Elephas maximus indicus: one gene and its partners. The protein of the gene in region 4 interacts with the protein of the main gene of each other region in a pairwise test. Links are inferred from orthologs where the notes say so. Each region holds a gene or a part of one and is shown on either strand. Other genes may lie near its edges. The genes, in order: RNF125, DTX3, RNF144A and UBE2L6.

Evidence for each region.
Region 1: the proteins of UBE2L6 (region 4) and RNF125 interact in a two-hybrid assay, tested with the Homo sapiens proteins (3 studies listed by BioGRID and IntAct). The link is inferred for Elephas maximus indicus from reciprocal best matches to the Homo sapiens genes UBE2L6 and RNF125.
Region 2: the proteins of UBE2L6 (region 4) and DTX3 interact in binary tests that used the Homo sapiens proteins (3 or more experiments, as listed by UniProt). The link is inferred for Elephas maximus indicus from reciprocal best matches to the Homo sapiens genes UBE2L6 and DTX3.
Region 3: the proteins of UBE2L6 (region 4) and RNF144A interact in a two-hybrid assay, tested with the Homo sapiens proteins (2 studies listed by BioGRID and IntAct). The link is inferred for Elephas maximus indicus from reciprocal best matches to the Homo sapiens genes UBE2L6 and RNF144A.

The regions. Positions count from the first base shown.
Region 1 is NC_064829.1:39,483,156-39,491,006, forward strand, and holds the start of RNF125 (E3 ubiquitin-protein ligase RNF125), read left to right. Parts: upstream 1-4,843; 5' UTR 4,844-4,898; coding exon 4,899-5,062; intron 5,063-7,851. UniProt on the Homo sapiens protein: E3 ubiquitin-protein ligase that mediates ubiquitination and subsequent proteasomal degradation of target proteins, such as RIGI, MAVS/IPS1, IFIH1/MDA5, JAK1 and p53/TP53.
Region 2 is NC_064822.1:117,496,087-117,502,969, reverse strand, and holds the start of DTX3 (probable E3 ubiquitin-protein ligase DTX3), read right to left. Parts: upstream 3,005-6,883; 5' UTR 2,861-3,004; coding exon 2,843-2,860; intron 1,759-2,842; coding exon 1,694-1,758; intron 1,508-1,693; coding exon 1,433-1,507; intron 1,093-1,432; coding exon of another isoform or gene 1,074-1,092; coding exon 344-1,073; intron 1-343. Other genes in the region: PIP4K2C (phosphatidylinositol 5-phosphate 4-kinase type-2 gamma), read right to left, coding at 6,344-6,424, 6,612-6,715, 6,866-6,883. UniProt on the Homo sapiens protein: Regulator of Notch signaling, a signaling pathway involved in cell-cell communications that regulates a broad spectrum of cell-fate determinations.
Region 3 is NC_064830.1:15,958,380-15,965,639, reverse strand, and holds the start of RNF144A (E3 ubiquitin-protein ligase RNF144A), read right to left. Parts: upstream 3,013-7,260; 5' UTR 2,925-3,012; intron 1-2,924. UniProt on the Homo sapiens protein: E3 ubiquitin-protein ligase which accepts ubiquitin from E2 ubiquitin-conjugating enzymes UBE2L3 and UBE2L6 in the form of a thioester and then directly transfers the ubiquitin to targeted substrates.
Region 4 is NC_064825.1:118,989,282-118,996,528, forward strand, and holds the start of UBE2L6 (ubiquitin/ISG15-conjugating enzyme E2 L6), read right to left. Parts: upstream 3,010-7,247; 5' UTR 2,861-3,009; coding exon 2,834-2,860; intron 1-2,833. UniProt on the Homo sapiens protein: Catalyzes the covalent attachment of ubiquitin or ISG15 to other proteins. Functions in the E6/E6-AP-induced ubiquitination of p53/TP53. Promotes ubiquitination and subsequent proteasomal degradation of FLT3.

The DNA of each region.
Region 1 (7,851 bases), on a different chromosome or scaffold from region 4:
TGCGGTCATCTTTCTGCCATGAGGGAGACACTACAGACATAAGACTGAAGTCTTGATGACATTATTTTTCTGTTAAACCAGCTCTGGAACTGCTTACCCCTGGACTAATTTACCAAAATAAATAACAAATATCCTATTGACTAAGTCACTTTTAGTTAGTGTCTTAGGCCAGATTCTCTAGAGATGTAAAACCAGCAAAGTATATAAATATACATACAGATTTATATCAAGGAAATGGCTCATACGGTTGTAGAGGCTGGGCCATCCCAAGTCTGCAGGTCAGGCTGGAGGCTTCTCCTGATTCACATAGCTGCAGGGGCTGGTGAACCCAAGACTGGCAGGTCAGAGAGCAGGCTATGAAAACCAACAAATGCCAAGACTGGCAGGCAAGACAGCAGATAAGCTGCTGGCTCAAGTTCCAAGAACTGGAGGTCAGATGAACAGGAGCCAGTTACAGGATCCACAGCAAGCAAAAGCCTGTGGGCCTTGCCAGAAAGTCCACCTATATCGGATGCAGGCCACATGCTCAAGGAAACTCTCTTTCAACTGATTAGCTACTCACAGCAGGTCCCATCATGGAGGTGATCACAATAGATCAAATCTCATCATGGAAGTGATCACATCATCATACGACTGCCAAACTATATCATTACTGCCAAATAGAATTATGGCCCAGCCAAGTTGACACACAATTTTAATGATCACAGTTAGATATCTATTGCCTTCTACCAAAGGTATTCTAACTGATTACAGTTATTGGAGGAGTCAGATTGTGCAGGACATTGTAGATCACGTTAAGGACTTAGAATTTAACCTTAAGAGTTACGGAGAGCTATTAAAGATTCTTAAGCATGGTGTAACATATTTCCTTTTCAAAAGATTGCCTTAGTTGCAACGTGGATAATAGAGTAAAGGGTGTCAATAGTGAATGCAGGCAGAACAATTAGGAACTATTAGAATAGGTCACACAAGAGACTGTGATGATTTAAAATAAGAAGTGACCATGGGAGTGAAGAAAAGTGAACCAATTCAAAAACTACTAAGAGGTATATTACAGACAGAAAATTGTGATTGTGATTGATTCAATGTGAGAGAGAGATAGGACAAAAATCAAAGATGACTCACAGGTGTCTGGAATGAGCTACCAGGTGGATTGCAGTGCCATCACTCAGAATTCAGTAGGAGCAGATGAAAGGCTACAATCATCAGTTCATTATTGGACATGTTGATCTTAAAGTGTCTAGGAAGCAACCAGTGTAGTGATTTCAAGTAAGAAGGGCATTTGAGTGGCCTGGGGTGAAGACAAAGGCTTCAAGTTCTCTATAATTTAGATGGTAACAGAATCCATGGGATTTTTGAGATTCTTAGGGACTGAGTGAGGAATGAAAAGGGAGAAGGACCCGGGGTAGAATCCTAGGATCACTAGCACTTAGCCTTTCCATGAAGAAGGCGATGCCAGCAAAGGAGACTGCAAAAGATTAGCCAAAAAAAAAAAAAGGAAAGCTAAAGAGTGTTTCTACAAGGAGGGAGTGGTCAACACTGACAAATATAGTTGAGAAGTAAAGCACGAAAAATACTGAAAAGAGGCTATCGGGTTTAGCCACACATGACGGTCACCACTGATGATGAAGCAGTTTTTGGAGAGATGGAGGTAGAGTGGTGGGTTCAGAATTCAAATTTATCTGGATAAGCAGTGGATAATTAATAAATCAAGATACAAAAGACAGATAATCAGCTCAAGAAATTTGGCCTTAAAGAGTATATAGGGCAGGAGCTGAGGGACATGCTGGATCAAGGGAGAGCTTTTGTTTTTCTTTTAAAGACAGGAGTGATAGTCTTTACTTCAGTCCTATATCCAATTCATCAGCAAGCCCTTTTAGGTCTTTCTCCTAAATATATCCTAAACCTGTCCACCTCTCTCCTTCTACCCAGATATCTTGTTGGTTTGAGCCATTATGGTCTCTTAACCATGGTCTCCTAACTGGTTTCTCTGCTTCCATTCTTGCTTTGTTTCTGTCCTTTGTCTACACAGAAGTCATATGTATAAATCAAATCGTGACACTTGGAATAAATTCTCCAAGCTCTTGGTCCTAGCCTGTAAGACTGGATATGATCAGAACCTTGACCACCTCTCCCCACATCTTGACCACATCTCACCCCATCTCCTGCTTTTATTCCCCATGCTCCAGTTCCCTGTGTCCTCTTTCTGTTCTCTGTTCCTGCATCACTCACTGTTACCAGTGCTTGGCAAGGTTTTCTCCTCAATCTTTGAATGGCTGACTCAGTTTCATTATTCATGGTTCTGCTTAAACGGCATTTCATCCAAAAAGTTTTCTCTGACCCTTGTATCCTTTTTTCCATTCTCATTCTCTGTTTTATCTTTTTCATAGCTCTTATCATTTTCTGAAATCCTGTTCATTTATTTATTTTTTAATTACTATATCCTCTCATTAAAAGTAAGCTCTGATTGGGGGAAAGTGATATACAGGATCATTATGTATAATTATGTATTTTATGCATTGGGTATTATTTCTGACAATTGCATGTGAATATATAATTATCTCAAAATAAAAAGTTTTTTAAAGTAAATTCTGAGGGAACTGGGATTTTGTTTGCTTATTCAGAACTGTGTCCCCATCATCAGAATAGAGTGCCACGGGGCACTAAATAAGTCCTTGGTGAATTAATGAATGAATGATATGCTCGGTCATGTTTTTAAAAAAAAGAGAGAGAAGAAAAGAAGAGAGAGTAAAATTAATAGCAGGAGAAAAGAAGAGAGAGTAAAATTAATAGCAGGAGATCCTGAGCCAAGGAATCTGAGGATCACAGAATTTAGCACTAGAATTCCAGAATGGGATTTGAATCCAGGTCTCCAGAACTCCTTCCTCTACTCCATGCTTGTTGTTGTTTGTTGTTAGGTGCTGTCCAGTCGGTTAGACTCATTGTGACCCTATGTACAACAGAATGAAATACTGCCTGGTCCTGCACCGTTCTCACAATCGTTATTATGCTTGAGCCCATTGTTGCAGCCACTGTGTCAATCCACCTCATTGAGAGTCGTCTTCTTTTTTGATGACCCTCCACTTTACCAAGCATGATGTCCTTCCTCCAGGGACTGGTCTCTCCTGATAACACATCCAAAATATGTGACAGTAGAAGATGGAAGGAGTACACAGAGTCACTATACCAAAAAGAATTGGTCGGCGTTCAGCCATTTCAGGAGATACCGTATAAGCAGGAACCAATGGTACCAAAGGAAGAAGTCAAAGCTGAACTGAAGGCACTGGCAAAAAACAAGGCTCCAGGAATTGACGGAATACCAATTGAGATGTTTCAATAAACGAACGCAGCACTGGAAGTATTCACTTGTCTATGCCAAGAAATTTGGAAGATAGTGACCTGGCCATCCAACTGGAAGAGATCCATATTTATGCCTATTCCCAAGAAAGGTAATCCCACCGAACGCGGAAATTATTGAACAATATCATTAATATCACATGCAAGTAAAACTTTGCAGAAGTTCATTCAAAAGCAGCTGCAGCAGTATATCCACAGGGAAATGCCAGAAATTCAAGCCGGATTCTGAAGAGGACAGGTAACCAGGAATATCACTGCTGATGTCAGATGGATCCTGGCTGAAAGCAGAGAACATCAGAAAGATGTTTACTTGCGTTTTATTGACTATGCAAAGGCATTCAACTGTGTGAATCCTAACAAATTATGGATAACAGTACGAAGAATGGGAATTCCAGAACACTTAACTGTGCTCATGAGGAACCTGTACATAGATCAAGAGGTAGTCCTTTGAACAGAGCAAGGGGATACTGCCTGGTTTAAAGTCAGGAAAGGTGTGCGTCAGGGCTATAGCTTATTCAATCTGTACGCAGAGCAAATAATCCCAGAAACTGGACTATATAAAGAAGAACAGGACATCAGGGTTGGAGGAAGACTGATTAACAACCTATGTTATACAGGTGACACAACCTTGCTTACTGAAAGTGAAGAGGACTTGAAAGTACTTACTGATGAAGATCAAAGACCATGGCCTTCAGTATGGATTACACCTCAACATAAAAAAACCAAAAATCTTCACTACTGGACCAATGAGCAACATCATGATAAACACAGAAAAGATTGAAGTTGTCAAGGATTTCATTTTACTCGGATCCACAATCAACACCCACAGAAGCAGCAGTCAGGAAATCAAAAGACACCTTGCATTGGGCAAATCTGGTGCAAAAGACCTCTTTAAAGTGTTGAAAAGCAAAGATGTCACCCTGAAGACTAGGGTGCACCTGACCCAAGCCATGGTGTTTTCCATTGCCTCCTATGCATGCTCCATTAACGGAGCATTGATTAGATGACCAAAGTAGTGATTGGCACTGTCTTAGGAGCGATCAATCAGTCATACAAATAATTATAATAAGCTACAAAAACTGATAGGACCAACACTTGTGGATGCTCCCTGGTTCCCATAAAGGCATGGCCAGGCAGCATTTTCCTTAACTTACGATAGTGGGGATGTATGTCATAGCCTGGAAGGTACACTGCAGGCCAAGGTCCTCCTCTGCAGCTGAGGTTTCAGGTTTCAATCCTCCCAGGACCACGAGACATTGCAGCTCGTGTGCTGTGCAGCTGCCGCCGCCACCTCCTCCATCACTTAACCCCCGGCAGCTAACGAAAGATCATTTCAGACGCGCTGGCGCTTTCTCTGTCTGCCTCTGGCCGAGGTTGCGCGCAGCGGCGGAGGCTGGATCTAGGCTACGCGAGCGAGCTGGGGGCGCTGGGAGGCGGTGATCACAGCTGGGTTGGGACTTCCTTCCTCCATCGCAGAACAACAAAACAACCCGGCTGCAGGCACTGAGCTCTTAGCAGCTGCCCGGGCGAGAGGCGCTGCAATGGGCTCCGTGCTGAGCAGCGACAGCGGCAAATCCGCGCCTGCCTCGGCCACCCCGCGGGACCTGGAGCGCAGGGGGAGCCCCGAGCTGCCAGTCACGTCCTTCGACTGTTCCGTGTGCCTCGAGGTGTTACACCAGCCTGTGCGGACCCGCTGTGGCCACGTGTAAGTGCCGGGGTAGCTGGCTTTGCTCTCCTACCCGCTGGAGAGAGCAGGGTTTTGGGGCGGGGGGGGAGGGGCCTGGGTATGGGGGGTTTCTTTTGCCAGAGGCAGACGCCGCCGGAAGAAACCTGGACCTATCTGGTGCAAGACACAAGAAAATGCCCAGTCGGGAGTGACAGAAATTCGAGAGGAAAAAAAGCCATAATCTATCGGGCCCGGCAGCCTCTTCCCGAAACCCAGGTGCAGAACCCCGGAGATGGAGATTCCAGACCAGGGTCACGCCGAGAGCCAGCGCTCGCTAGCTGGGGTGGATGGTCTTGGCTGGAGAACCAGAGCCTGTCCCGGCAGCGAAAGCGAGCGCGCAGGACTACAAGCAGCAGGGACCCCCAAAGCACAATTATCCCGCTGAAGTAGGTTGAAACAGCTGTGTCCTCCTCTCCCCAGGGAACTCTGGCCGGTTTTGTGTGGCTGGCTGCGTGCACGTGTTCCAGAACGCTCACTGAGGCTTCTGCGCAAACAAAAATCTGTGCAAACTGTCTTTTTACCCCCACCCCGTCTCCCTTTCTCAACACAGACACCAGACAGACCCCTGTCGGGTCGTCAAGTCAAACTGAAACGCCCAAGTGACTTCCTGTGGTCATTAGAGTTTAACCAGACCTGTTACGGTGGGGCTTGGGGCTTGAGTATTAGCAAGGAGCCAGTGAATGAAGCCGCTTAAAACTCAACGACAAAGTGAAAGATCCTAGACTACCTGCTTTACGCACACCTCGCCAAATCAATAGACAGTGTAGATTAAAACAACTTTAAAAAAAAATGACGTAATGTTTTACTTAAATTCGCCGTTAGCGCAAAGCATCATTTTCTAAGAAGAGTTTAAAAACGAAGTCCCTATATAAAATTGTAACGTTCTTAATGTGTGTTTGAGTAACGAGTAGCGGGAGTTGTATCTGTGAATTTGTTTTCTCCGTTTACTTAAAAGATGTTTTTTTCCCGTGGATGGATGGATGGGGGCGGGGGGCAGGGGAGAGGTGAACAGAGCAAGAACGGAAACCCACTGAATGTCTTCTTTGGACTGCTGACTTACTGTATAGTCTGATGAAGCGTCAGGGCAATACCGCAGTGGCTAGTAAGTGCTTTGGCCTTAACAGGAAAAGGGGGGAGGGGGACCATATTATAAAAGCAAGCGCAAAAATGCTTTTAAAACGACCTCGGTGATTCTTGACACTTAACAGCCTTGTACCTGAGAAAAGCAATTTTGACCACAGAAGAGCCCATCAGAGAACCAGAGAGAAAAATATGCAGCCCACACAATGTTTACATCTACAGTGCCCTGGGCCTTATTTTCTGCCTGTATTTTTCGGGCCTGTTGTTTCAGGTTTGTATTTTGAACCCAGTGCTAATCTACCTCATTTGTGATTACTCGTGTGGTTTCCCAGCTGTCCAAATGTAGCTTCTTGACATACTATCCAAGGGTCAGTACAGAAGTCAAGATGTTGTCTAACACCATAAAATATATTGATTAGTTCAGGGCACTAATAACCTAAGAATAACTACATTTAAATTTAAACTGTATTAGCATTAAGATTTGAAAAGTGTACCATGGATGATGCACAATAGGGCATCAAGTCTTGGAGATTCTTTTTTAAGAACTGAGATGGGCATTTTTGTTATTTTAATTATCTGACTGGAGATTGTTTTCCCCAGTTTGGATTTTGAAGTTACAGTTTGCAGTGTTTTTGCATCTGCTTGGGTTTTTTTGGTTTAAAGGATAATATAAATTTGCAAAATGTTAGATCTTTTGTTTAATCCTTCTCTTTGTTGGAGTGAATAGGAAACCAGCAACTGGAAAAATAGTCATAAAATAGCATAATAAGGGCTGGACAAATTGCCTTCCCTCACTTTACTGTTCTTTGTTTTGACAAATCTATGTCCATTGTTCTGGCCGTGGGCAGAATTTCCATAGTCCTCCTTTTGGCAAACTTACTTGGATGCCTTCCACTTTAAATGTTAACCAGAGTCCCTTCGGCACTGGAGATGGTGAGGGCTGTTAACACCATTTGTACTTTGGAAATGAATTATTGTATTCCATTGACCTCAAATTGGAAAATGAAGAAATGCAAATAAAACCTCTCTAATTTATTACAATGTATTGAAGCTAGATTTCCAAACTTGTTGAACTAGGTTGTTTATGCTAATTTCTGTTTTAAAAACCTATTTCAAGTCAAACAAGTGTAATAATGATGACAACAGTACCTTGAATGAGTATATATATAGTACCTTATTGTAACCTGACTGTTCCAGGTCTGCTTGGCGTGGCCAAAGAGATACGAAACAGGTGAAAGCAAAAGAAGCAGCTTTATTTGGTTGGCCAAGCAAAGGCGCACACCAGGACTTCTATCGCCAAGATGGCTTCCTGAACAATGGCTTAAACAGTATTTATTAGGGGAAGGTTCCCTGGGGAAAGGAGCAAGGTCATTGATTGGTCTGGCCCAAAAAAAGGCTTTCCTGGGGCAGTTCCTTTGTCTTTGCTTGCTCAGTCCAAAAGTGGGGGGAGGGTGTATGAAACCGGATCTGGGGCTCGGACCCCGGGCTTTGAAAGTCTTCCTCCAATCTTGGGCCAATAAAGTTTGGCTCCGACTGGTAGGAGAAAAGTTCTGGGGTCATCCAGAAGACAGGATTGATGGTTCTTCACATGTCAGGCAGCCAGATTTGGTCTTAACTTGTTCTGTGGTCTGCACACCCCAGCCTCTTGTTTTTCTTATCTTGGGCAGGAAGTTGGCCAATTGCCTAAA
Region 2 (6,883 bases), on a different chromosome or scaffold from region 4:
GATCAGATCCCTCCCTACTGTGCCTGCCTGCACCGGAGCCTGATCTCCACAAAATTCACCCCTGCCGAGAATATTTGTCAACATCCAGGTTCATCAAGGAAATAGAAGTCAATTCCTTTCTCTCATCACACTTGATTTTCATGTGTGCCTTGGGGTCATGGGGATGGAAAAGCTGGGCCTCAAGGGGACCTCCTAGCCCCAAGGCACTAAGTAGGAAGGCATGCTGGGAAATGGCAAGACTGTATCACATCTAACAAACACACTCACCATCACTCAGTCTTTCTAGGTCAGAGAACAAGCTTGGGGGAAACCAAAGGGTGAGGGCAGGCTGTGGTCTTCTTACCCCCTGGACACCGGGCGGGAAGACATACTGGATGACAATGGTGCCGTACTTCTCATAGCTGGGCAGTAGCAGGGTGGCATCCTTAGAGACCAGCATCCGCCCATTCTGGGGCTGGTTGCCTACCAGCTGCCCATAGAAGCGGCCGCACATGGGGCAGGCCTTTTTCACCTGCAAGGCCCGTGTGATGCAGCCCTCGCAGAATGAGTGCCGGCACTTCTCCAACGTCTTGGCATTCTGGATCTCCCCCAGACAGATGGGACAGGTGCTCTCCTGCTCTTCTGCCTCCTCCCGAAGGCGGGGAGGAAGAGGGGGTGGGATGGGAGGGGGAGGAGGAGGAATCCCCCGTGCTCCTGGGGGCAGGAGTGGAGCTGCTCTGAGAGGGGGTGGGGCTGGGCGGTGCAGCTCTGGGTGCTCTCCCCCACCCCCCAAAGCCAGGCAGCCCATAAGCTCCCCCTGCCTCTGAGCTTTCTTCAGCTCTTTCTCTGCCTCTTTTAGCAGCCCCTTGAGAGCCTTCCGGGCCAGATAGAGCCCATTGGGAGGGGCTGGGGGTGGGCCCTGTGGGGAAAGCTGGAGAACATAGATGTCAGAGGTCTCGCCATCTATGAGGATGGCAACATGGTGCTCCTCCCGAAGCCGGGCCAGCCGCGCTGGAGTCTCCTTGCTCAGGAAGTCCCACACAGGCTTGGAGACAGTCACTTTGTTCTTGCAGGTGCCTCCACAGGCTGCCATTCTGGACAGGACGAACGACACTGCCCCCAAGGTGAAAGGGACTCAGGGTGGGGGGTCCCCATTTGACAAATATCAATGCCTCCTACTTCAGGTTCCTTCCAAATACTATATTGCCCCCCATTCTCTCAAGGCCAACTCCCAACTCTCCCCCCAGTCCATTTTCTATCTTCCCATATCTTCCAACCTCACCACCCCCTGAAGAACAAGAAAGTTCCTTTAACATCCTAGCCAAGCAATCAGTCTAGGTTCTCCTTACACTTCTCCCAAGATCACAGAAACAATTGCTCCCGCCCCACCCTCAGGGTGAAAAATGGGCTCTTTAAAGGGGAGAAAGACTTTTCAACCCTCCGTTTTGCTCACTTTGATCCTGAAGAGCTTAGAATTGGCATGCAGGCTCTCTCTCTTTCCCTGCTCCCTACTTGTGGGTTATATGACCTGGAGGGGTGGAAAGGAAAAGGAAGGAAAGTAAGAAACTCCTTCCCCCAGTACCCCCATACCTCAACCCAGCAGCCCATGTAGCAAAGACAGGAACCTGAGTATAGGTTACTGCGCATAGTATTACTTAGAACATGGAATGGAGAGAACTAATTTAAGAATGAAAGTTGAGGTTCCCTCAGGTACCTGGAAAGCCCATGGACAACGGTGACAGCAGAAATCGCTCTATTTCCACACTCAGCTGACCAGAACTAGGGGAGAATAAAGTGTTATGGTGGCAAACGTTAACATTTTCACCAGCCAGCCCAGAAACAAAACAAAAACTCCTCTTCCATTTCATCTCCCTCTCTCCTGCCTGACTCCATCCACAGCCCCTCCTCAAGCTGGTAAGGAAGGGACTGATCATGCTAACCTTCCATCTTTTCTTTCCAGCTATGAGAGCTTCAAGGTAATAGTCTGGAAGGGAAAAGCCTACACAGAGATTTTTCTTGCCACATGTTTCAGATCATAGGGACAGGAGTATTTCCTCGGTTCCCTAACTCCTCACCCTGCTCCACAGTCCCAAATCATCCAGCCCCTACTGCCAGAGAGCTTTCCTTAAGCCCTAACCTCAGTCCCTTCTGTTGCAGTCTGTTAGGAATGTGAACAAAGTGGCCACAGCCCCTGCAATAACAAAGTTCTCATTGTCACCTTTTAAACCCAGCACACCCAACGCAGCATAGCCCTTTAGCTCTCTAGCCTGCATTTAGGAGGGGTGGAGCTCACACAGGGGCTCTACTGGAGGGACCTGATGTTCCTCCAGTCTTGTCATATTCAGTTACAGGGCTGTTCGCACACCTTCAAATGCAGCTCCAACGGAAAGAGGAACCATTAACGTGACCTCAATTCTTTGACCGATGGAAAGGGGAGCAGCTGTCCGTTTGTGCCTCCATCATAGTTCCCTCAAGGCCAGATTCACCTCGACACTCAGAAAATGAAACTCGAACCCTGAGACCTCAGCCCCCACTGTCTATCCAGAATGGAAACCCACCCCCTCCATCAGAGAGGACCCAGGACCTAGGTGTCCTAGCTCCAAGTCCTGCTGGCAAAGAAAAGGGAGGCGGGGCCACAGTTTATGCTGGATCTGTGATTCCGCTGGAGCAACCCAGGCCGGACACCAGGCCAGTCCCTCCCTCCAGACAGATAGATGCTGGTGGCAGGGGCAGCCAGAAAGGGCAAGGGTCCCTGGGGGCATCCACTGAGGCAGCTCCACCCCTCCCCCCACGGCCTCCACCAAGACCCGACCCGGAACTAACCCCCCACACCCCTCTCTCGCCGGAGGCCCGGGAGACCCACCGGTGGGCGGGGGTGCATGTTGGCCCGATCGCGGCCCCCAGAACCTCCCAAAAGGAGGCCAAGGCTGGAGGATGGTGAAAAGAGGATTGGCGGGGCGTGGAGGGGTCCTCCGGAGCCGTACCAAAGGGAAAGGGCGAAGGAGTGGGTGCAGGGGAGCGGGGGGTGCGAGAGGGGAGAGAGCGGGGTCTGGGGGGTGCGCGGTGGGTGTGGGGGACGCCGGGCTCACCTACCTCCTGTCAGCGCCGCCATTGCCGGTCACATGACTGAGGCTGTTGCTGGGATGACGGTCCGGGCCTTAGCAACAAGGGGGGGAGACCCCGAAAAGGTGGGGAGGGTTGCAGGGGGTGAGACTGAGAGAAAGGAAAGAAGGGAGGATTGCACCCCCATTCCCCTTCACAGGTGATAATCACCGTTTCCGTTGACTCTTTAAATCCAGGGGCCCCAGTCCCTCCGCCCCAAAACAAAAATGGAGGCGTCTTCCAGTCTTTGGAGGGAGAGGGTGGCGTCGTGTAACAGAGGGTAGGAGGTTAAATCCCTTAGAAACGCTGCCGCTAGCTTCTCATTTACCCCTGTAGGGAGGAGCCCTTTCCCTTTTCTTTCCCAACCAGCTGCATGGCAGCTTCTCTGAGCTAGTGGTGGTTGGGTGGGTGGGGAGCGTCGGTTTAGGTATATAGGGATGGGGTGGGGGGAGGGAAGCGGTTTCTGAAATCCTTATGCCAGAAGGGCCTTTGAGGAACAATGTGGGATGGGAAGAAGAATCATAGTAAAAAGAAAAGCATTTGTTCTAAAATAAACAAACCCCAGTCCTAAACGATTTCATCCTCTCATCTCTTGCCTCTTCCTAGATTGTAACCGTCTGAGAGACGCCCCCCACCCCCTCCCCGCACCTGCTCCCAGCTGGGTATTGGTAAGTGCCTCAGATTTTTTTCTCTTTCCGCAAGTGGGGATAGGGAGTGTGATGCAGTATGGGAAGTGGATATATTTTTTAAGAAATGGCTTGGGGTCGTGGTGGCCTCAGGCCTATGGTTCAAATAGTTAAAAAACTCTCAAAAGGAAAAAAAAAAAAAAAGCTCTGCTGTTTCCCACATCAGAGCAGTCTCCGCCCCTGGCCCAATTCACTTCCCTGGGGCCACATCAAGCTAGGTTTCTCTGCCAGCCAAAAGACCTCCTCAGCCAAGAAGTACTGGATCTCCCAGACTAGCAACAACCTCTGTTTATCCACCCCCTTCTCCCCTCCCCCTCTAGGTTAGAGGGCTGGCCACTTTCTCCTTCACTTTCCCAGGACCCTTCCTGCCCTTCCAGGCAGAGATCATCTTTCCCAGGGAGGCTGGAGGAGCGCTGAATTCAGTTTCTCTTTTAATTTAGCTTGTGGGCTGAAGCCCATTCACCTTAACATAGTTTTGAGTGTGAACAAGCCCAGAGCCCTGGTGGCGGGGGTCGGAGCGGGGGTTGCATCATCTGTTTTCTCTGGCCCTTCTATATAGGGCTAAACTCCATGCCGTGAAATTGAAGGAAAAACAGTTTTCTATCTCCATGCTACCAGTGCCCCCATACAACCTTTTAAGTTCCCAGCCATCTGTCTAGAAATCCACATCCTTAGTTAAGGGCCCACATGCTGAAGGCCAGAATTTTTCATCTAGTCTTTGCACCCCTAAGAGTATGCTTCCTCAGAAAAGAAAGGAAAAAAAAAAAAGGCATTTCTGTGAAGGAATTTGGATTCAATAATTTATTTTTTATATTGTGACCGCAATAAAGAGTAAATACACATTTTTTATTAATTAATAAAACAAAAAAGACGAAAAACAGAAGCAACAAATGAAGACCATACTGCCCATGATACATCAGCCACATGGTCAGAAAACCCATTTCAAAAGAACAGTTGCTGGTGTCATGGAGTTTTATTGCATTCAACAGGGGAAAGGTAGATGATTGGAATGAAAAAGATGCATCAGGCCCCTGAAGAGAAGATACTATAGGAGCTCCAACTGCGGATTCCTCTTGTTTTCTCCTTTGGAGCAGAAGATGGAGGGAAGAGAGGGATTCTCCCTTATGACTTCTTGTGAGACAGATCAGTCCAGCCAGATACAGAGCAAAGAAACTTGCATCTCCACAAGCCAGGTGCCCATCTTTATGTTAGAAAAATATACAAGCCTCAAGGGGGATGGAGAACAGCAAGAATGGTTGCCTTAGCCCCAAAGCCATTGGAGGGGAGGGGACAACTTATCTCATTAGGGTCCTCTATATTCTGAGAATGTCAAGCATCAACTCAACTATCTTGTTGGGAGGGGGAGCGGTGACTGAGTTATGGCTCTGACTCCTCTCTAGGGGTGGAGTAAAAATGGCAAAGAAGGCCATCTGTCCCCTGGGAGACACAGTAGCAGTGTAAGGACAGAAGAGAACAGAATGACAAATCCAATGGGGAAAAGGGTTTGAGAGGGATGGGGAAAGGAAGCGTGCTAGGCACACACCTCCAGGGAGTAGGGGAGGTTCGCACACTTGAGACCTCCATCCTGTTGAAATGACCAGGATTGACCCAAGTGGGGAAATTCCCTTCTGCTGGGAATAAACCACAAGGATAGCTAAAAAGAAAGAAAGAAAGCTTACTATGGGAAATGAACTTCACACTCCTGGCATTTCATCCCAGCCTCTAGAACTGGCCACACACCCACTCAACGGTTCCAACACCACAAGGGGTGTGAGGCTTTGGTAATGGGCAGAAACAGTTAAAACACCTTCACCCAGGCTTCAACACTCTGGCCAGCTCTGGGCTTCTGCACCCAGAAGTACAGGTGGGTGGGGGTGGAAGTAGGCTGAAGGAAGAGATTAGAGTGGTCATTCCTTGGCAGAAATCCTCTGCAACTCCCTTCATAATCACAAAAGTCCTCTTAGGTCCCACCTCCATGAGGACCCAGCCTACTGACCACTCTCCACCTCACCTCTGTGTACAAGATTGGCCATATTTCATCATATGTGCATATGCCTGCACCCACATCTGTATCTTTAAAGTTCCCCATCCCAGGGTCTACTGGGATAGAAGCATGCCACAGTGAGTTCTATAAAGTTATCAGCAAAACCCAGACACTCTTAGTTCATCCTACACAGCGAAATGCATCCAGAGTAGTTGCTTGAACCAGGTCCATCTGTCCAGTCGGGTTCTGAAGACAGCAAACAACCCTGTTCCCTCAGCTCCTCCTCTTTTATAGAAACAACAGGACATTTTACAAAGGTCAAGGCACTTGGGAGGGTTAACAATAACACCCTAAAGAAGCAAAGGGACTTGTTGCAGGAAGGGAAAGGGAAAAAACGACAATGTATTTCTGAGGGCCAGAAGAGCCAATGCAATGAAATGGGAGTTATCTGGATGGATGGAGCCTGCAGCCTGAATTTAGCAAAGGAGGAAGAGAAGAAGTATTGGCCAGAATATCCCCAATTCCTCCAAGCCTCTCAGAATCCCACCACCTTGAACACAAAGCAGCAGTCACCAAGGAGTCAGGCAGCCTCTTAGGCAAAGATGTTGGTAATAAAATCCAGGAATCGCTTAGCATACTGCTCAGGATGGACAGTAGAGATCTCTGCCCCGGCCTGTGAGAGGAATATGGAACAATGTGTCAGGCCACCCCACCACCCCTCCCCATTCCCCACCCTCCATACCCAACCTTTCATCTTGCTACCACCCCACTGCTCTCTCTCTTCCCAAAGAACACTCAAGCCAGTGGCTCCTGATAGAGGAGGATGATACAGAAAAGGAAAGGCTTTGGGTAACCCTCACCCCATGCTTGACAGTTTTGGCTGCATGAGCTGCTTTCTTCTTGGCATCATACTGTGTTAGGATGTCAATGAGACCCATGAAATACACCTCCTTTTGGGGGGCCCCTGGCAAGGGAAACCAACAATGAAGAGCAGATACATTTCCAACTCCCTTGCCCCAGGAACTGGCCAGATCTTTTTTAAAAAGCTAACCACCCTGGTCTTTGTCTCCCAGGGACAGCCCTCCCCACCCTTAAAATTTCTAGGATCTCTCACCCTCAGCACTCCGGATGG
Region 3 (7,260 bases), on a different chromosome or scaffold from region 4:
GAAAGAACACCAGAGAGAGCTGAAAAGCTGATGCCAGACTGAGATCAGCCACAAACACTTTGTGAGGCCTGGGACTCATGGCCTCTGCCTGTAGTAACTCTGATCTATAGTAACCCACCTAGATCTGTAATTCTCAATCCATGAGGACACATTCTCTTTCCCTGCAACTACTACCAGAGAGAAAAGTTCCAAAGAGGGAAGAGGTTTGAACAAGGTCCACAATGGGTCTAAACTGTCAACCACGGTGGAAAAAGTAGTGTTCTAAGGGTCAGGCAACACAGGTCCTAGTTTTTGACCCTGCCACTGCCTGGCTGTGTGGCACATTCACCACCCTGAACCTCAGCAGTTTTAATTAAGTAAGCTCTAAGGGCCTTTCATGAACCCACATCACCACACTCTAATAAAGATTTCCCTACAGGAATTAAACCATCAGACTGGAGCGTGCTGGCGTACATTTATAAAATATATAAATCTCAAAGTGCTCCCCAGGTTTTCCAAACCTCCCTGGCATTGTCTCATGATTCACTCCATGACTGCAGATTTGTCCCCCTCCCGCTGAGCTTCTGAATTGGGCTCCATCTATTCCCTTGTACGGGTACGGGCACTGGGTTCAGGCCCTCTGCAACGCCATAAATTTCAAAACTCAAATTGTGCTGGATCTGCAAAGTTTGCATCCTATTAAAATTAGGTTATCTGCATCCCAATTTCTCAAGTGGTCTTCAAATCACGTGTGGCCCCTTTGGCAAGTGATAAAGGTGGAAGCCAAGGCCAAGTGCGTGTCCGACTCTGAAGCCCAGGCTCCATACATTGAGCCATGCCTGGTCCTTTCCCAATTGAAACAATCACTCTGAAGGCTTCATGACTTATCCCAATCCGACCTCTGTAGCCATTATTTCCTCCCCACTCATTAAAATACATTTAGAATAAAGATTAAAAAGGCACTAGAAAACAGAAAAACACAAGGTCACTTCTCTCAGTACTGTGGAAGAGAACACAATCAAGCAAACATTTGGTAAAAAAACAACTGGGCTCCAAGGCAACGTTCACTGGTGTATGCTGGTGTTTTCCTCCCTTTCTTTTGCTCTGCTAGTTCCCTCCACTTGGGGTACTCCTGCCCCTCCCCCCATGTTGGATCTGACCCACCTTCAGTCTTTGATTCAAATACCACTTCCCTCACAGGGTCTTCCCTGGCCCCCTTCTCTTCCTGCCTCTCCCGAACTCCCTCTTTGGAATTTCCACAGTCAGGGGAAGATGACCCAATAAGCAAGGTAAACACAGGCTTACTTGTGCTTACTTTAGTGAACAATTTCACGTGAGTTTCATCACACTCGCAGGGGTTTCACCACATCTCTGCTTAGGAAGCAGGCACAAGTAAACCAGTGCTTACCTTGCTCACTGGGTCATCTGTCCCTGTCAGGGCTGGTAAATTAAAAAATTTAAAAAGGTGCTGTGAGGTTGGGGGAGAGACAGATGCCAGCCACACCTAGAAGCAGAATCTTTGATGTGGTGAAAAAATGTGAAATTGTTCACTACAGATTACCTGGTAAGCAAAGTAAGCACTGTGCTTACCTTCCTGCCCACAACTCTTCATCTGTACCACCTTACTTTCTGCCTTGAATTTTATTTATGAACATTCTATCTGCTCGATAAACTCTCACCTTCAGGGCAGCCTCTACCCCGATTCACCCATACAAGTCCCCCTCACCCCTCACGTTGCGTTCCCAGGAAACTGCCTCCCATAACTGTTGAACGCAAGACACTTGGTCTCTCTCCAGTGCAGGCATTTATTGCAGCCGGGAGCCCACTTGGGATACTTCCCTGGGGCCTTATTTGGCCTGGCACAGGGCACTCATGTTGAGTGGATATATATACATTTAATTATTCACCGGAAAACAGGAGAGACAAGAACAGAGAGAGAGAGACATAGAGTGAGAGAGGGAGGAAACTTTGAGTTTGATCCCAGGACAGTTGATCCCTGTCCTGGGATCAGGATAAGAAGGCTTAAAAAAGCCCAACAAAAGGTAGAACAAGTAACCCCTCCCCCCATTACCATTAAGCAATCCCTTTTTTTATCTTGCATAAGCAAACGAATAGCTGGGAACTAGCGTGTAGCAGAGCTGGGAGCAGCTGCTGGAGGGTGGGGTTGGGGTAACACCAGCATCCCAACCCTCTGCAAGACCTGCAGGGAACTTCCGGGCCAACCAACTGCCCTGGCGGCACAGATGAGGGAAGAGATGCAGGGCGCACCCACCCAGTAGGGGAAAGGTGTGGAGGTAGGAAGAGACGCTGATAGCTATGGTCATCGTAGGCGCCTGGGGAGGACGTTCAAAGCCGGAGGGCGAGAGGTACCCCTAGCCGACTTGGCTCAGCCCTGACCTTCCCCGCCTCTTCCTCCCTCTCGGCTGGGTCCACCCTTTTGGAAGACTTAGCGCGGACCCGATGCCTCCAGCTCTGGGGCCTGCGGGCGGGGCCCTTCAACAAAGAGAGGGCACTCTGCGCGCCAACTCGCCAGCCGGACCCTAGCGCGGGAGCGCTGAGAGGCGCATCGCTGCAAACTGGCGCCCAGGCTAGGGGTGGGTGGACGGCGGGGTGGATCCGTGGTTCTCAAAGTGGTCACGGCTCTGAGGCGCGAATGCAAGCCCAAGCGGACCACCGAAGGGTCAGGGTGGAGGTCTGCGCGGAGACAGCGAGTCCCCGCCTCAAAGACCTTCCACCCGCCTCCAGCCCCCCCACGATCCCAGCGCCCCGGGCCAGCGGCTCCGGCCACGCAGTGGATTCCGAGATGTGGACTCGGGAGGACCAGGGCTGGGCACACGGCGGCAGCGGGAGCCCCAGAAGGCCGGGTCCACAAAGCCACATCCCTCCTTCCCGCTGGGTCCGGCTCCCGATGCCGACACAAAGGGGACGCGCTCGCGTCATCCTACCTGGTCCCGGCGCCGTGCGGCGGCTTCCTCGGGTCTGCTACCGCCAGGGCTCTCGGAAGCAGCCCGGCTTCGGCTCCTCGGCCGCGGCGACAGCGCGGGGCTCCGACGGCTTTGCCCGGGTGCGCGCGGCCCGGCGCCTGCTCCCGCGGTGCTGCTGCCGCCGCCTCCACGCGCGCCCCGCGCAGCCAGCCCTGAGCCACGCAAGGCTGCTGCTCTTTATTTCATCCCCACCCTCCACCCCTTTTTTGCAAAGCCAGCGAGGGGAGGGGAGGATCTGCGGCGCGAGAGGTGGGGGCCGCTAATCGGCACACAAAGACGCTGGGAAACGTTGGAGGTAGCCGTTTCCCTTTGAAAAGGGCCAAGGCCCCCGCCCTGGGCGGACACAGCGCCCTCTGGTGCCCATGGGGCCTCGGCACGGGCTGAGCGCGGCTAACTTTCAGTCCTGGCCTTCCAGGCGTGGTGCCAGGCTGCCTGGTCACCCCGGGCCTTTTAGCAAAGCTGATGAATCAACCAAATCATGATAAAGACCGCTGATGATCCGGGAAATGAAAATGCGATTTCTTATTTTAGCGGTCTCCAAAAGATGGCCCGCTGATTTCAGATGTGTCGGGGGAAAATACCAGCGAACTGGGAAAGACATGGGTGACCCAACCAAACACGAACTCTTCTAAGCCAGGTGCTGGAAAGATCATGAAGCTGGGCAGTTGGAGCCCCGGGCTCTGCCATAGACCAGAAAAAACATGAATAAACCATTTGGCTTCTCAGAACCTCAATTCCACACTCTGTCATATGAGGACGTTGCTAATGAAGGCTGAGGACTTTCTTTGCTAAACTAAATATGAAATCTCTTTTCACCCCACTACCTGGTTTCTCTGATGGGTGGAGAATAGGAGGCAACCTGGACGTCCTATCAGGCTTTTGGATACCTGAAGTTCACCTGTAGCAATTCAGTCCTAATTATTAAGGCTTCTAGCTTGACAAAGTCTAAGATCTGTGAAGCGAGAGTTGCTGTAAGATATATTTTTGCCACTCCCTCCAGTAGTTGGAAGTTATACATGTGCTAAATTACATGCCTTTCAGATATAAATATATGAACAATACCTATGTATGTATAGGAAAGAATCCCTCCTTCAGCCCATAGACTGTTTTCTCCAGAGTCATAGGGAAAACTCACTATAGTATCTTCCTTCCTTAACAACATGCCACCATACTGCCTGGGCTAATTTACAGCTCTACTATCTACTAGCCTGGTGACCTCAGTTAAGCAAGTTACTTAACTTCGTTGTGCCTCCATTATTTGGAAAATGCAGGTAGTAATAGTATGTATAGCATAGAGAGTTTGGGAGGGATTAAACAAGCCAGATACCCATAATGCAATTATCAACATAACCAGCAAACTGTTAGGACTCTACCATGATCCTTAACTACTATTTATCTCATTCCCAACAGTTAAACTAGAAGATTCTTAACTATCTTGAAATTCTGCATAATTTGTCTTCCTGAGCTACACGCACACACATAGTTGTTAGGTGCCGTCAAGTTGGTTCAGACTCATAGTGACCCTATGTACAACCAAACGAAACCCTGCCGGGTCCTGCACCATCCTCACAATTGTTGATAAGTTTGAACCCATTGTTGCAGCCACTGTATCAATCCATCACATTGAGGGCCTTCCTCGTTTTCGCTGACTCTCTACCAAGTATGATGTCCTTCTCCAGTGACTGGTCCCTCCCGATAACATGTCCAAAGTACCTAAGACGAAATCTTGCCGTCCTGGCTTCCAAGAAGCATCATTCTGGCTGTACTTCTTCCAAGACCAATATGTTCATTCTTCTGGCAGTCCATGGTACATTCAATACTCTTCACCAACACCATTTTATATATATTTATATGTGTGCATTTGTATCTTATGCTTTAAAAAGTTACTCAGATAAATATTTCTTCTCTTCAAAGATATGAATGAGGACTTTCCTTCTTATGCCTCAGCTTCAGTCAAATTATTTGTAGAAGTTTCACTCTTAATGAGAAATACACAATGGGAGGGGTCCTAACAATAGCATTTTGGGACTTCATCCTCTCACTAGAAGATAAAAGTAGCTCACCATTAAGGTCTGGGCTTCATAAACTGTATTCACACCTCCCACTACTAGGGAAGTACTAGCATGACTCTTACTTATAAATGGATAATTAAATGAATGAATGGATTGATCACTGCAAATACACCAAGGAGTGGGGAGGAAACTCCTTGCCATGGAGTCCATTTTGACTCCTTGACCCTATACGACAGAGTACAACTGCCCGATGGGATTTCCAAGGCTACAAATCTTTCTGGAAGCAGACTGCCACATCTTTCTCCCATGGAGTGTCAGACTGCCGACCTTTTGGTTAGCAGCTGAGTACTTTAACCGCTGCCCTACCAGGGTTCCTTGTGCAGATACACAGAATGCAAATTACACGATGGCTTCGTACTGGATGATAAATTGAGATTCAGACATTCATGTGGAAAACAGAGACATAGAAATCAAGTTGGGGGACTGGGGAGCAGCATCTGGAGCTGAGAGGAAGAGGTTGATGTGGAAAATCAACCCCTTACCTAATTGCATAATTCAGACTGGTAAGTGCTGATGCAGTAAATTCCGTGATTTAATTCCCATGTTTGGTTCGTTTGTCTTTGTTGGTATGATCGTTGTTGGGGAGAGAGTGCTTCATCATTGAAAGTACAGCTTGTAGCAGCTCAAAAACAATGCATCTCAAGTACGATTTTCTCTAGGAAGTCTACGCAAGACAACTTTGCTTTCCTCTTCACCAAATATCTGAACAGTGTAAGATGTAGTTCATTTCTGTGTTGATTATGGCATCTGTCACACACCACTTCATGCTTTGGGTATTTGCTCTTGGATGATTAGATTTTAAAATTCTGTAGAGCAGTGACGCCATCATTTTTCTATGCATTCCCCTATAGGGCCTTGAGCATAATAAACACTCGGCAAATAATGAATGTAATCATCTACTTTGGGCTGTGCCCCTGGGCCACTGTCCTCTTTTTCTCCAACAACCATCTGCCTGTGTCTCTCAGAGATATTTTCATCCACCACACAGCACCCTGTGCCAGCCATGAATGCAAAGAAACCATCTCACCCAGAGGTTTGTCATGGCGAGCCTCATCCATTGTTCCTGTGTGTTTGTGCCTAAGGGAAGTGTGACTCATTATTCACTCACTGAACAAGAGTGTTTTTGATTATGTACTATGGGCCAGATTCTGAGCTCAACGGTAAACACCTCGGAGAATTAGTACCTTTGTAAATGGCCCAGAGGCTGGAAAAATGGAAACACATCCTGAAGTTTCTCCTTGAGGCACAAAATCGAGAGAAGCATGAGATTCGCAGTCATGGCTTAAAATAGACCAGAGTTTGAATTCACATTTCTTTGATGTCTAAAATTCAGTTCAATTCCTTAGTTCATGAGAACGGCTAGAAATTAAATGTCAGTTACTCTTCTTTTTTTTTTTTTTTTACTGTCCTGACTCTGCCTCCCTCCCTAAGGGCATACAGGAATCTAGGGGATCACATCATCCTAGGAATATATAATAAAACCTTTCCTACCTAACCCATCATAGGTCTACTGATAGTCTTTTTGTTCAGGATCTGTGGTCTCTTGAAAGCAAGCTGCATACAGCTCCTTATCCAGGCTTTGGGCACATTTTTTTTTTTTTTCCTAAATCCAGGGTCAAAACTATACAGCTCCCCAACACACCACACAACCGGTGAGGTTGTACCACTTCCCCAGGGCAATGCCAAGGAACAATGGAAAGGCCCCTGCTACTCTCGGGGTCTTCTTGGGAAAGCTTCCCTTGTTCACACTCTTGCCTCCCTCTCCTTGAAGGCCTCCTCTCTCTCTTTCCCAAGCTACACTTCTTAAATATCCTCTTTGGTGTGTGTAACCCATTGCTGGCGAGTCGATTCCAACTATTAATGACGCTATAGGACAAAGTAGAACGGCCCCATAGGGTTTCCAAGAAATGGCTGGCAGATTTGAGCTGCCGACCTTTTGGTTAGCAGCAGAACTCCTAACCACTGTGCCACCAGGGCTCCTCAGCGTGTGTAGGCATCCACATAATACAGGACACAGAAAAAAACACAGGGTTCTAATTATTATCTAGAATCTATGGGGGAAGAGAAAGCAACTCTATATTACTATCACAACGAAGTATGTGGTCAAAATTACAAAGAATAAGAGCTTAAGGAAGACAACCAAAACTTCAAGAAAGAAAGTACAAGAGAAGAAGAACATTCATTTATCCAGTCATTCAACAATAGCATCTAGAGGACACTGATGC
Region 4 (7,247 bases):
TCACCCAATGACCTCAACAGCCATTGACTGAGCATGCTCTAGGGACCACGACATGGCTCAAGCCTCAAGAACAACCATGGAGTAATGGAGGAAACATGAATGCAATTACGAGAATGACGTGTGTGGATGCATTAATGAGGAGAGAGATGGGAACAGGAAGGCTTACAGGGGCTGCACATGGTGAGCCGGGCCATGCAGAATAAACAGGAGTCCACCACGCAGAGAAGTTGAGGGGCACCAAGACAGGCCCAATTAGGGCAAATGTCCCATGGAAAGTCAATAGTTATTACAGGAAAAGGGTTCCATGGATGAGTATGTTTGGGAAACACTGGGCTAAACAGGTTTCCTTACTGCAGGGATTTCCAGAGCCTTTAATTTGTTATTGCATATTGTGAATCCCCAAAACGTGAGCCCATAGCATGCAGTACTTCTCAAATGGATCTGACCAAGCAACCTCTCGCCCTTTGCTGATGACAGAACATTTTTTTCAAAACAACATAAAAATGACATTCAAGGGCAGGTCATACGTCTGTGAAACACCAAATGGGTATAAACCACTGGTTCTCAACTACAGGAAATTTTACGGAGCCCCCCCCCTCCACACCCCCGCCCAGGAACATTTGCCAATATCTGGAGGCATTTTTGGTTGCCATAAATGGGAGGCAGGAATGCTATTGGCATCTAGTGGGTAGAGGCCAGGGATGCAGCTAAACATCCTATAGTGCACAGGACAACCTCCCACAACGAAGAATTATCCGACCAAATGTCCATAGTGAGGAGGTTGAGAAGCTCTGGTGGAAACAAGGGCAGAGAGAACGTTCCCCAAACCCAGTTCCCAGTTGAGAAGGGGTCCTTTAACATTGTAGACCATCCGAACTTTCTATTTCCCCCTCCCAAAATATAAACACGCCTTTGTTCCCCGCCCCTTCACTCCAACACACTGCTTCTCACACCTTCTACCCAGATTCTATGACTTTTCATTTATTTTTTGCCCCAAACTAGAAGCATCTTTTACTACAAATCGGGTTCCGGTATCATCTGTTATTTTGGGGGCAACAATGAAGCCCAAGGGTGAATAGAGAAGCTCTGGAATGGACATTTTTCCCTGACTTTACTATTAACAGGAACATTTCGGATTTTATCTATTACAGGTGAGTTCTGCCAAAGCTTTCGCAACACCTGAGGATGATGAAACCTGAGCTAGGACACAAGGCTCCTTCCTGAGGCCTGTTAAGAAATCACCTGACTTAGAGGAAGAGAAAATGAAAGTAGAGTGACCATTGAAAGAGCCTGTTTGGAGTCCTGAGGACCCAGCTTAAATCCCAGCCCCATCTCTTCCTTCTTCAGTGACCCTGGATAAATGAGTTATTTTATCGGAGCCTCAATTTCCTCATCTGTAAAATGGGAGTACAGGGTTGCTGTGAGAATTGGATGAAACAACTGATGTAAACTGCCTGGCACGTAATGATGCCAGTGTGATAAATAAAACCAGCTGCCATCTAATCGATTCCAACTCACGGCCACCCCATGTGTGTCAGAGCAGAACTGTACTCCACAGGATTCTCGATGGCTGATTTTTGGGGAAGTAGATTGCCAAGCCTTTCTTCTAAGGCACCTGGGTAGACTTGAACTGCCAAATTTTCTGTTAGCAGCTAAGTGTGTTAACCAGTTTGCACCACACAGGAACTCCAGTGTGATAAATACTGGTTTCCATCTCTTTCCTACTGGAAAAACCCCTGCTCCATTTAGCAGTCGCCCTTCAGATTTCAGTTCTTCTGGGTTGAGCCTACTCTGGGTGACCCAGACTGAGACCCTCTTCTTCTCAGAGGCTGGGGGTAGCAGGCACTCCCCTCAGCCCCTCCACTCCATTCTGCAGATTAGAGGAACTCAGAGTCTGGGGGTGTCAGATCCACTTCACCAGGATTTTTCTCCATCTCCAGCTACACCCCAGCCCCCCCCAACCACCCAGGATTTTCCCACCTCCTGGTGGAATTTGCTCCATCCCCATCCTTCCAGACCTCATCTCAAACTGTGTCCCTGATTAAAACGAAGGCTCAAGGAAGGCAGGGATTTGTGTCCTTTGTTCACCTCTGCCTCCCTACCAGCTAGAACAGGGCCAGCATACAGTAGGCATTGAACAGCAACTGCAGAACAAGGAACAAGGCAGGCGCGCGCCACCGTCTCCAGGAGCCTTCCCTGCTCTGCTTCAGCATCTTCTCCACAGAGCGCTCAGGGAACTTTGACCTACTCCGGGTCAGCACCCCATGCTGCTTTGGACCCTAGTCAAGCAGGTATCAGCCCAGAGGACGGGCCATAGACTATTCCGAGGAAAGTACCTTGTCCCCTATCTCTGTGCATAGCCCACTCCCCACCCACAGCAGGGCGCCTGCCACCAGGATGAGGCCAGGAAACCCTCCCCGCACCAGAGACGCACGTAAATGTTCTCACAAGTTTCTGGCAGAAGTGAAACTGAAACCAGTTGGGGGGGCGGGGGGGGAATCCGATCGGCTCACTCCACCCCCAGCACGGCTCAGGGAACCAGCGACACCACACCCCATATGCCCCCTCCCCCCAAAAACACTTCCCTGACCCCTCGCAGACCCCCTTCTCCCCTGGGGTTAGGGAGCAGGAGATGACAGGCATTCAGCCGGCCCCAGTACCTGGACTACTGCGAGCGCTCGGAGAGCCGGCAGGGGAAAGGATGGAGGGAGTAGGGAGCCCGGGAAGGGGCGGAGGGGGCAGGGAGCCGAGGAAGGGGTGGAGGGGGGAGGGAATCGGGAAAGAGATGGAGGGAGGAGGAGCGGGGGAGAAGGAGTGTCCCAAACGCAGTTACCTTCGCCACCCGCTTCCTCGCTGACATCTCGGAACCGAGTGTGGGGCACTAGCGGACTCCAGCCGACCTTGCGAGGAGACTAGGCGCCCCGCCCCGGGGACCCCACCTCCGGGAGCCCCGCCTACGCTCCGCTCCGCCCGTGCGGTCGCCGGACGCAGCAGACCTGTTCCCCACTGGCTTTTCGAAGACAGAGGGGGCCCTGCGGGGAGAACCCGGCCAGGCCTCAGAGCCGCGCGCTCGGATCCGGACAGCTCGCGATCTTTGTTGGGGGGCACGGATGGTCCCTGGAGCGCGCGGCGTGCCTGGTCTCTGAGTCCCGGTAGGGGGCGCTCTGCATCAGGCGGTGAGCGCGCAGAGCGCGGGGCTGGGGTCTGCTCATCCGGGTGCTAGTTTCTGCCCGGGACTGTCCCAGGGACTCCTCTCCATCAGCCGGCTCCTCGTCGTCCTGAATACACGCTCACCCTAAGTAAATGCAGGGATGCAACTCTGCTCCGCGACAGGTCCCCCGGCGGCCTCCACCGTCAGACCACTGCCCTAAACCCCTCGTCTAGCAAACTCTTGGACCTGCCTGGACAGGACCCTTCTTCTCTCTGCGCCCAGTGCCCCATCTCTAAAAATGAGAGTTTGGGGTTCTTTGTGCTGTCCAGCATTCGGCGGCGGACCTACAAGGATGTTTCTCCCAGAAGGGTGCTTGGTGAAAAGCCCCACAAGGAGGCGCTGTTTGGACCCTTTCTCTCTTGTTTTTGCGAGTCGGTCGCCTGTTCATTCGGTCCTTGACTGCCCACCAAAAAACCCAGGCTTAGTATTTCATCAGCGCCGATCTCATGCTCGTCTGGGAAACAGCTGGGTGGGAAAGCCCCAAGACGGATTTCAGGAGCCTTCCCCCAGGGGAAGCTACTCAGCCTCCCTTATATTATCCCTGATCCATTACACACTGGGGGCCTACTATGTGCCCCCATACACAGCAGGCGTCTCCACCCCTCTGGGCAAGGGCAGAGACCCCTGCCCCAGCCGAATCTGAGCCCACCGCGAAACAGCAGCCCCTGAGTACCAAGCAGCAGTGTCTGAGAAAGAGCCTCCCAGACTCGGGACTCCCAGAATCTCCTAGACTCTGAGCCCTTCTTCTCCTCCCTCCCAGCCCCCCACTTCAGCTCAGATGAGGAAAGAAATCGGCATATTTTGAGCACCAGATTCAGAGTTAGGTACCTGTTTTAATTACCTAATGCTTTAACCACAGTGGGTGGCTCTAAAGAACAGAAATTTATTTCCTCACAGTTCTAGAGGCTAAAAGTCCAAATCGGGGTCTTGGTGGTATCAGTTCCTTCCTTGTAGGTATTTCCGAACATTCCTTGGTCCCTTAGCTTATAGATGATTGACACATAGCGTGTCCCCCATTTTCCTGGTGTTCCCATTTCTCTGCATCTCATGTACTCTTTTTGTAACTCAGAAGTGATTAGATTTAGAGCCCACTGTACTGTGTATGGTCTAATTAACATAACAGAGAAAACCCTATTTCCAGACAGGATTACATCCCCAGGCATGGGGGTTAGGAGTCCAGCACATATTTTGGGGGCAGACTCAATTTAATCCATAACAGTATCACACAGTTTTTGTCTTGGTACCAACTGACTTCTCTGCTCAGATGTGGGATGTATCTGCAGGACAAACGATGTTTAACTCGACAAACTTGAACTGAGTATCTTCTATATGCCAGGAATGATTAGGACACTGTCTAAAATCCCCTAAAGCAAGTAGACTTATTTCTGTTTTAAAGATGAGGAAACTGAATTCAATAGCTGGGATTTGAACCCATGTCTGGTCAATCTTCTCAGTTGCTGTTTTAAGTGCCTTCAAGTCTGTTTTGACTCATAGGGACCCCATGTGACAGAGTAGAGCTCCCCATAGAGTTTTCTAGGCTGTAGTCTTTATAGGAGCAGATCACCAGGTCTTTCTCTCCAGGAGCCGTTGGCTGGTTCCTTAACAAACACTTAATATTCAGTATTTGCCATGGGCCAGGCACTGCCCTTAGGGACTGGGGATGCCACAGTAAGAAAGTGAGGTCTCTGTCCTTAAGGAGCTCTCAGATTATAGGGACGGGGGGAGGGAATGTAGCCTCTGTGTTTTTAATGCAAAGAGGTGAACATGAAGATACATGCAATCATATGGTGTTATGGAAATGAGGAGGGCCATCACTGTACCCAGCCCTGGGGTGAGGAGCGAGCTTTCCTGGAAGAGTTAAAAATCTAAATGAGTTGTGAAGTCTGATAGGTTAGCTGGAGTGAGAACATGGGAGGAGGGTGTTCCTAGAAGTGGGAACAGCCTGATTAAAGACATGATGGCAGTATATATGGAAACTGAAAGTGGTTTCATGATGTGGAGCAAAAGTTTCTGCCTATGCCCTTTGTTTCTCCTTCCCTTCTATTCCAGAAACGCTGCATTCCTGCAGGCAGGCTGTGACCCCAGTGCCCCTGCCTGCCCGGAAGTGAATGTGTATATGTGTCTGCATTGTGTGTATATATGTGTATGGATCCAGCTCCGTCCTGCACAGCTGGGTGACCCATATGTCACATCCTTGCACAATGTGGACCTTTGTTGTCAGAACAAACCCTGAGCTGGGAGCCAGGAGCCTGGGTTCTGGTTTCACACATACTGTATGGCCTTGGGTGGGCCATGGAACCTTCCTAACCCCTTCATAGTGGACCTACCTGCCTCCCAGGACTGTGGAAAAGCTAAGCTCATGGAAGTGGAGGAGCTTCAAAAATTATAAGCAAGCCCAAGATATAAATAATCAGGTTGGAATCCCAACTCCACCATTATTGGCTAAATAACTTTGGGCAGAGTACTTAACCTGTCTATGCTTCTGTTTTCTCATCTGTAAAATGGGACTAATGATAGTATATACCTCACAGGTAGACGTGAGGGGCAATAATTTGATACTTGTAAAGAACTTAAGAATTTAGAACAGTGGGCAATAAGCGATAGTTATAATAATAATACTTATTATTATTTAAATGATGCCAGTTGCCTGCCCAGGGGGTGCTGGGTGGGAGGAACAGAGATTCCTGAGCTTTCTGCCTTTGGGCAATGACATATCTTTCTGAGTTAAAAAGCAGTTACCTTTGAGGTGACTCGGACTCATAGTGACTCTGACTCATCATGGCAACCCCAACTCATGGCAACCCCTTTTGTGTTAGAGTAGAACTTGGCTCTGTAGGGTTTTTGTGATGGTTAAGGTTGCGTATCATCTTAGCTGGGGCATAATTCCCAGTGGTTTGGAATTTATATAATGATGTGATTTGGCAGTTATGTAATGATGTAGTTACCTTCCATTTTTGTGATTTGATGTAATCATCCTCTATTTTGTGATCTGATGCAAGCAGCCAATCAGTTGAAAGGGGAGTTTCCTTGGGGGTGTGGCCTGCATACCATATATGGATATTTTGGCAAAGCTCACTCTCTTGCTCTGAATCCTGCATCCAGCTTATCATCATCTGACTTCTGGTTCTAGGGATCTGAGCCAGTGGCCTGCAGTATTGCCTACTGATATTGGGATTCTTCAGCCTCTGCAGCCTATGACTCAGCAGCCTGCGGTCTTACCTGCCAATCATGGGTTTCGTCAGCCCTGCAGCTATGTGAGTCAGGAGAAGCCTCTAGCCTGACACCTGACCCCACCAGCTTGGGACTTGCTAGCCTCTACAAACACATGAGCCATTTCATTTGTCTTCTCTGTCTCTCTATACATACATACATACATATCCAAAAACCAAAACCAAACCTGTTGCCATCTAGTCTATTCCAACTCATAGCGACCCTACAGGACAGAGTAGAACTGCCACATAGAGTTTCCAAAGCTGTAATCTTTACAGAAGCAGACTGCCATATCTTTCTCCTGAGGAGTGGCTGGTGGATTCAAACTGCCAAACTTTCAGCCAGCAGCTGAGTGCTTTAACCACTGCGCCACCAGGTTTCCTTCCTCTCTCTGATCCAGTCCCTGTCATTTATTCATACAATCTACAACACTTAAGAGCACCTATTGTGTGAGGCCCTGTGCTGACACTGCAAAGGGACCTACTCTGTGGACTTGGGGTTTTAACAATGAGTAGAAGAGATGCACATCTTTGTAGATGACAAAAGGTTGCAGGGAATAAGAAATTTTCTCAATACAGCCAAAAGCTTAAAAAGCCAGAGTAGCAGGGACCAGGGACGCCGATCTTGAGACCATGGTTTCAGGGGATATCTAGATCAATTGGCATAACAAAATGTATTAAAAGAAGGGTCTGCATTCCACTTTGGTGCAAGGCGTCTGTGGTCTTAAAAGCTAGCAAGCAGCCATCTAAGATGTATCAATTGGTCTCAACCCACCTGGAGCAAAAGCGAATGAAGAACACCAAAGACACAAGGTAAATATGAGCCC